2 linked regions of the Sus scrofa genome follow. The protein of the gene in region 2 interacts with the protein of the main gene of each other region in a pairwise test. Links are inferred from orthologs where the notes say so. Each region holds a gene or a part of one and is shown on either strand. Other genes may lie near its edges. The genes, in order: RPP14 and RPP30.

Evidence for each region.
Region 1: the proteins of RPP30 (region 2) and RPP14 interact in binary tests that used the Homo sapiens proteins (3 or more experiments, as listed by UniProt). The link is inferred for Sus scrofa from reciprocal best matches to the Homo sapiens genes RPP30 and RPP14.

Annotation. Positions count from the first base shown.
Region 1 is NC_010455.5:40,060,663-40,064,988, reverse strand, and holds the start of RPP14 (ribonuclease P protein subunit p14), read right to left. Parts: upstream 2,812-4,326; 5' UTR 2,543-2,811; intron 2,532-2,542; exon of another isoform or gene 2,351-2,531; intron 1-2,350. UniProt on the Homo sapiens protein: Component of ribonuclease P, a ribonucleoprotein complex that generates mature tRNA molecules by cleaving their 5'-ends.
Region 2 is NC_010456.5:102,589,619-102,593,434, reverse strand, and holds part of RPP30 (ribonuclease P protein subunit p30), read right to left. Parts: intron 3,771-3,816; coding exon 3,741-3,770; intron 3,337-3,740; coding exon 3,299-3,336; intron 2,911-3,298; coding exon 2,831-2,910; intron 1-2,830. UniProt on the Homo sapiens protein: Component of ribonuclease P, a ribonucleoprotein complex that generates mature tRNA molecules by cleaving their 5'-ends. Also a component of the MRP ribonuclease complex, which cleaves pre-rRNA sequences.

The sequences.
Region 1 (4,326 bases), on a different chromosome or scaffold from region 2:
AGATTAAACAGCAAAGGTCTTAAAGGAATTCCTGGAATGGGCACTCAAGCCATTCCCAATAGATCTGGAACTTGGAAGAGCTCAGTACATGCTGTTCCCCCTGAAGAGAACCCCTATCCTGGGTTCCTCACCCACCTCACTCCACTCTGGATAGCTCCTACTCATCCTTCAAATTCCAGCTTAAAGTTCACCTCTTCTAGGAACATCACTTCTTCGGAGAGCCCTTCTCTGACACCTTGCTGTAAGTTAGGCTCCCTTGGTATGTCATCTCTTAACATTGTCTTTGTTTAATATGTGGTTCCCCCAACTAAAGGGACAGGAAATTGAAGCCTATCCAAGGAAAGGAACTTTTCCAAGGTCACATAGCTGTAGACCAGCATTCACAAAAACCTCTCCGGTCCCAGTTCCAACCACTCCCAGAAGACAACCTCAAGAGAAAATGAGAAGTCAAGGTCAAAGCCACTACATCCAACCACCTATTCAACAAATATGAGTATTTCCTGAGTCTGGCACAGAGTATTCAACAAACACTTATTGAATACATGACTGATTAAATGGTGGTAGCATTCAAGGGTGTCTCATTTCTCTTTTCTTTTTCCATCGCGCCCACAGCACATGTAGTTCCTGGGCCAGGGATCAAATCTGAGATGCAGCTACAGCAATGCTGGATCCTTGACCTACTTTGCCACAGTGGGAACTCTTGTTTCAGGACTGCAGTAGTTCACGGTGCTCCCTTCTCAATCACTACAATCTCCCCTGACTGGAAGGGCAGGGAGGACAGTATCCTCAATCATTTCATTCATTGCCTGGCACACAATAGGTGTTTATTAAACATTACTGATTGCCTTAGTGGAGGTGGCTGCCTGAGGTAGAGTGAGATTGGGCCTGGGGCTTAGGATGCCAATAACAAAGAAGACTTAAGGAGTATTCTGGAAATGGATAGTGGTTATAGTTGTACAACTATGTGACTATACTTCTTGCCAATGAAGTGTATATTTAGAAATAGTAAATTTTTCATTATGTTTATTTTATATTAAAAAAAAAACTGTAGGAGCAAGTGTTTATTGAGCAGTCACCTCTGACAGGCCTGGGTCTCAGAGTGACAGCACCGCCCTCTGCAGGTTGTCCTGAAACTAAAGGAGATGATGCCTGGGAAGCCCTCCCTACAGCCCAGTATATTCATTCACCAGGCTCACTGGGAAAATGTGAACACTTCTAAGTGGCTGTCATTATCATCATCTCTGAAGCCGGCCTTTTTGATGGCTGCAAGGATGCTCATTACCTTATCTATTAGCAGTAGATGTCCCTGCTTCCCTCCCTAATCTAACCGGGTGACCCTATTAAAACCTTAATAAGCCCCTTTCCTCAAGGCTTGAAGCCTTGAGTAAAGCCAAAGTCTTTACATCTAAGGTCCAACCTGATCTGTACCATTGCTTCCTCCCATCCCTCTGACCTCCTGTCCTACCACTCTCCTCTGCTCAGTCTCTTCTACCACACAGGCCTCCTAGCTCTTTCCCTCCCAGCTTTTCCATTCGCTGAAAATACTCTTCCTCCAGACAGCCACATGGTTCATTCCCTTGCCTCCTCCATAGCTTTACTCAATTTCACCCCTCAATGTGTTCCAGTGGCATTTCTATCTAATGTCACCCCCCCACGCCACTGCTCTATTTTTTCCTCAGAGCATACACCACTCTGTAGGTATACAGAACATAACTATGAAATCCACTTATTTTTTGGAGGGGTGGGGTGCGTTGGCGGCGAGGGGTTAGTTCTGGGGTCGAACCACCCCATAGCAGTGACAACACCAGATCCTTAACCCGCTGAGCCACCAGGAAACTCTGAAATTCTTTAATTCTCGTCTGCACTCCGCCCTGCTCCTCCCCCCTCCCACCCCGGCCTTACCAGAATGTACAATCCAAAGAGAAACAGGCATCTTTCCCTTGTTTTCTGCTGTTTCCCAGGAGGCTAAAACAGTGCATCACATACAGTAGGCACTCAGTATGTAATTACAGGACATAAACGATATAAAAATTTTAAAAAGCTCGGTCCTCTACTGTTTGGAGATTAAATTGTTAAGCTATCAGCCACTTAGGCTGGTGTTTTGTTTTATTTTGCTTTTTAGAGTTGCACCTAAAGCATATGGAGGTTCCAGGTTAGGGATCGAATGGAAGCTAGGGCTGCCAGCCTTACACCACAGCCACAGGAACGCAGTATCCTTAACCCACTCACTGAGCGAGGCCAGGGACCGAACCAGCAACATAATGGTTACTAGTCGGATTCGTTTCCACGCTGCCACAACAGTGGAACTCGACACCTGAACTGTTTTAAACAATAAGTAAAGCAGGCTAACTTTTTTCGATGACCGTCGGCGTCGACTGGGCGCCCACCTGGGGCCGAGTGCATGCCCCCTGCACATGTGGTCCCGTTCAGTCCTCCCGCCGCCCTCTGCAAAAAAGACCACGTTGTACAAAAGCCCAAGGAGATTCTCAGCACCGCCTCGCCTTCGGCCTGGGGCGCTGAGCGACCTGAGCTGTATAGGTACCTCAGGCGTCTCCGCGCTGCCTGCCGTCGCTCCCGCCTTGCGCGTGCCTTCCTGGCGCGCGCATCCACGCGTCACTAGCGCGGCCAACTAAGTCCACTGCCGGAAAACAGCCACGCTACTACGTACTTCCGTCTACCTGCTCTCCGAGAGATTAGCCTGACTCCTATTCACTGCAAGAATCCCTCAAGGCTTGGAACCTCTCGGCAAAGGCTGGAGCCTAAGCACGAACTAGAAAACTCCGGGGTCTTTACGTTTGGCTTCTGTCTGCCCCGACCCCGGATGCGTGACGGCTCGGGCGGATATGACGTCACAGCGCGGCGTTTTCCCGAAGGACCCGGGCGTGACTCGGGATCTGAAGCTCGCCAGGCTTAGCGCCCTCTCGTGCCCACTCAGCCTCTGGTGCGGCAAGCCGTGTGTGACTGAGGGCGTATTCAGACTGAGAGCTTTTTTCTTAGTCATTCATTTACTCAGGTATTCATTCGTTCAGAAAAATTGTATCTAGCATTTCTTCTGCTGAGCATCTCCTATGTAAAGTATTCCCCAAGGGCAAGACCCGTTCTCAGTGTCTCTTTTGGCTCATAGCACATAGTTTTTCTGTCTGGATTGACATGAAAAGTCCCAGATAGCCCTATTTCCAAATCTAAGACAATAGTTTCATTTATTCGTTTATTAAATAAGTACTTACTGAGCCCGTATTATGTGCTAGATGTTGGAAACAAAAGATAGGGCACTTGTATTCATGAAATAAACAAAACCCCATACAGTGTGGATTAATAATAATAGTAGTATTAATAGCTAATATTAATCAAATGCTTACGTATGCCAGGCACTATTAGCCTTTCAAGCGGCAAGCAGTCGAACTTAGGTTCGGTGGTAACAGCCTCCTCCAGTTAGACATGTGTCTGTGTCTAGGTATGCACATACATACATAGACACATAAGTATAATGTCTAGATGGGTCCCAAGGGGACTGATGGAGGAAGGATTGGGCTGTGTGGAGGGTGTAAGAGATCCTCACATTGTTTCAGCATTCGTTTTTGTTTGATTTCTTTTAAAGTGATAGGGCATCATTTTTATAATACTGATAGTAAGTAAAATTTAGGCTCCCAAGAGGGAGTCTTGGACCATACCCTTCTGCATGCCTCTCCTTTCACATGGAAGAATAGACTTCCTTAAGATGTCACCTCCCACCCCCATCTGCCAAGGTTGGAGAGAGGAGGTAGAAAATGCAGACTCAGGAGTTCCCGTCGTGGCGCAGTGGTTAACGAATCCTACTAGGAACGATGAGGTTGCGGGTTCGGTCCCTGCCCTTGCTCAGTGGGTTAAGGATCCGGCGTTGCCGTGAGCTGTGGTGTAGGTTGCAGACACGGCTCGGATCCCGCCTTGCTGTGGCTCTGGCGTAGGCCGGTGGCTACAGCTCCGATTCAACCCCTAGCCTGGGAACCTCCATATGCCGCAGGAGCGGCCCAAGAAATAGCAACAACAACAACAACAAAAGACAAAAAGACAAAAAAAAAAAAAAAAAAAAGAAAATGCAGACTCACTGTCCCTTATCTGCAATTCTAAAATCGAAGAAAAATCTGAAGACTAAATCTTTCTTCATTAGGTGCAATGCTTAATCTGAACCTAGGTGAAACATTTTGTAGCTTCTGTCCCATTTGCTGTGGATATGCACATTGTATACATCAGAAATATGGATACATTTGCTCATGTAAAGCAGCCCCAGGCCCCACAGGGGTGGGGGCGGGGGGTTATACAACCTATGGTATACATACCATAACAGCC
Region 2 (3,816 bases):
CCTGTCGTGGTTCAGTGGAAATGGATCTGACTAGCATCCATGGAGGACGCAGGTTCAATCTCTGGCCTCACTCAATGGGTGAGTTGGCATGAGCTGTGGTGTAGGTTGCAGACACAGCTCAGATCCTATGTGGCTATGGCTGTGGCTTAGGCCATAAGTTACAGCTCCGATTCTATCCCTAGCCTGGGAACCTCCATGTGCTGCAGGTGTGGCCCTAAAAAGACAAAAAAATAAAAATAAAAAATAAAGAGTTAAACATTACCTTCTCAGTTAATAGAATCAATTTACCAAGTCTACTAAATCTTTGCCAGTTATTTAAGAGCATCTTAATTTATAAAAGGGACAAAACCGCTGTCAAGGTCATTAAAATGCCAACATATTCAGAGAACCTCAAAATAAAGAGAAATTGCCAATGATTTCCATTTCGCCAAATAAAAAATGTTGCATTTAGAGAAGTTTATTTATATCACTATGATTATGAGTAAAAGTCCAAAAATCAGTAGAATGAATAAATTGCGAAAGCCAACACTCAGTAATAAAACAAAATGCATTAGTTTCAAAATTATTTTAGTTCCATCTCAGAAATGTTCTCTTTTTTAATCACATGAACATTTCCTTCTTAATCTAAGCTGACAGATTATAAACCACTGAAAACCCCGAGTTTTATAGCTATCAGATAAGGTAATTTTTGGACCTTGAACCTCTTTGCTGTCCTTTCCTCATGACCTCCTTAGAATCGCTGTTCAGTGGTTTCTAGAACCCCCAGGACCACTTATTTGTGATTCCCTGTAGCAAGCTCCCAATGTGGAACTGCTGCTACTGTGTGCCCCATCTTCTGTTTTCCAGGAATCTATTCCTGCACTGCTTTCAACAACTGCTCTCAGGGTGAGGTTTCCAGACCCTCTGAGAATCTATTAACCACCTTCTGGTAGTGCTTCACTGCAGCGCTGTCCTTAAATGGGGCACTCAGGATGATACAGAGACCAGCTAGGACTTAGCAGTGCAGACAAAAATAATGAGACCCTGAATTCTCTTGCCTCAGAATCTTGCATTTCCTCTCATGCAACCTTAGGAGGAATTAGCAGTCCTGGGAACCCACCACACTACTATGTGACACTGATCCCAGTGTCAACTAAAACCAGGGTATCATTACCCTGCAGATGTGTTATGAATTCAGCAAGGACAGCAGGCATAAGCTAATAAGTAGCATTGTCCTGGGCACACGAGGGTGAATGTTTTTGTTTTGTTTTGTTTTGTTTTTTGACCAGGCAGGACGGCCGAGTGCCTTTTATTTCTGTGCGGGACATGGGAGGGCGGAGGGCAGGGACCGCGCTGAGCTGTGCCAGTGGGCTGCACCCACCAAGGAGCAGCTGTGCCTTCACCCTGAGGCTGGGGGGCATTCCGAGCCAGGACGCCTGCCGTCCCTCTCCAGAGGCTCTGCCACCTCGGCTGTGAACCAGGCCCTAGGCCTCCCCGTCACCACCCGCGGGCTCCCTGGAGGTGGAGGCAGGAAGGAGAGCAGGGCCGGGGCTAGACCTAAAGCCCACAAGACTTCTTTTAGTTTGGCTTCTATAATAGCCTAGTTTTACGCAGATTTCTTATGTTAAACAGCTGAGTTGTCTGAAGTCGAGAGCAGAACTTCATATTTTCCCCTACTGCATTTTTAAAATTAGTTTCCCTTTCTTGACTTGGTCTGTTTTGGAACACTAATTGTTATCCAAAATCTTGATGACTCCTTACACGCACTTAAAATAGACAAAAATAATGGCAGAACTACCAGTGTGAACCAACTGTTCCCTAATTTCAAGAAAATCTTGATAAAATTCTAGTTAATTTGGTCATTTCCAGAATGTATGTAATGGGTTAAGGCAACAATCTCAAACTAAAACTGTTGAATACAAAAGCAAAATCATCTATTTTACGGTTAAGTCAATACAGTAACCAGTTCTCCCAAGTGGAAATCAGATCATTGAAATCCAACACACAAGCCCTCAATCTAACTATTCATACTTAGTCTAGACGTAGCAACCAGTTCTGAAATTTAAAGTTCACCTGGGTGGTACCAAGTAGACTGCTTCCTGACCACTGCTAAAATTACAAAGAGAATGAAGATAAAACAGCAGATGAGAAGTATACGCTTTTTTCTTTTAATAAAACCTCATCTTCATTCTCCAAAGTCCTGGCATATCAAAAACTTCTAGTTCAATTTTTATCATCTGATGAATAAGAAATTCAGTGCTTTCAAGCAGTGGAATTCAAGGTGAGGAGGTAGATACATGGTAAATGAAATGTGAGTAAAAAATGTATCATCTGTGCATTCCTGAACATGTATAAACAAAAAATAAGAAAAGAATCACAAGTTGTAATAAATGTGAAAACTTAGGCTTTGAGTTTGTTAGCTGGATTTTTAAAAATGTACTTGGTGTTTCTGCGTTCCTCATAAATGGCTTAACAAGTATTTTTAACTTTCCTGTTCTCTAAACAGTGATCTTCAGCAGGGAAAGATGTCCCTCTGGAGGAGAAAGGGCGATTAGAAGCCCATGAAAATGCAGGTGGGGAAATGCACACGCAGATCCTGAAAGAAGGCAGCCACATCCAATACCCTTCTCTGCAAGGCGAACTATATTCGTTCCACAAACTACAGAAAATAAAGCCTGAAGTAAAGGGTGAGAAAGCATTGATGGGTATGCTTAATCAGGTTGAGAAAAGATGACCCTGAAGGAACTCTGTGGGGGCAAGATGATAAAAGTAGATATGGCCCGGCAGTTTGATAGAAACAACTGGCTCTAAACATGAGCACGAGGCGTTTTTCTTGGAAGAACTTGCTCACCTCCATGGAGAAGCACTGCTCGGCAGTTGGTAGACACTGCGGCCTTGGCATCGCTTTCAGACAGCCCGAACAGCAACCCTCTGGTGAGGTTGTTAAGGATTTCAACCCAGAGTCAGCCGAGGACACGAGACTAACAGAAACATAACTGAAAATGCCAACTTGCCTGGTCACACCAAGAGAGAGACACTTTAATTCCATGGTTTTAGTCCAAACGGAATATGCATTTGAGACGAGACTCATTTAACTCTAAGCTTTTATAGAGTCCTTTCTTCCTTTTTTCTTATTTCATCCTCAATCTGGAAACAAAAGGATGACACCCTCTACAACTTGATATAACCTGTTTTTGAAGCTATTAACTGACACATTCATATAAAAAAAAGATTAAAAAAAAATTTGTTAAAGAATAACATGCCAAATTCCAAATTTCCTAAAGAAAATTTCAATGACTTCTTACTCAGAAAAGGATACAAGTTTGCCACGTCGTATGGGCCTCTTATTTCTAAAGGCTAAAATAAAATGAACAAAAAATAGATATGAGGGAAGTTATTCATAACATTTCAATGATATCATTTTCAGTAAATAGGATGCTTAAGTATCTAAAAATAAGGATGTCAACTGCATAAATTTAAGTCCTTATAATTCTGATGGGTTTCTTAAGCCTTTGAAAATATAAAAGATCTTTGAAAAGCATTTTGCCACAATTATAAAGGAAAAACTATTTATATAAACAAAACGTGCAGCCCCAAAGGAATGGGGATAAATTTTACTCTTCAGCAATTACAATGAATACATGCAGTTAAAAATGAAAACATCCAATAAATGTTCATTACATTACTATTTTTCTTTCCTAGAAACCTTTTAAAGTTTTATAACTGAAAGGTGAAAACAAAGTACTTAATGTCAGACTTACCCTTTCTGCAGCACTAGATACAATTACATTCTACAAAATAGAAAGTAATCAATGTTAATCTCAGATAAATGTGAGA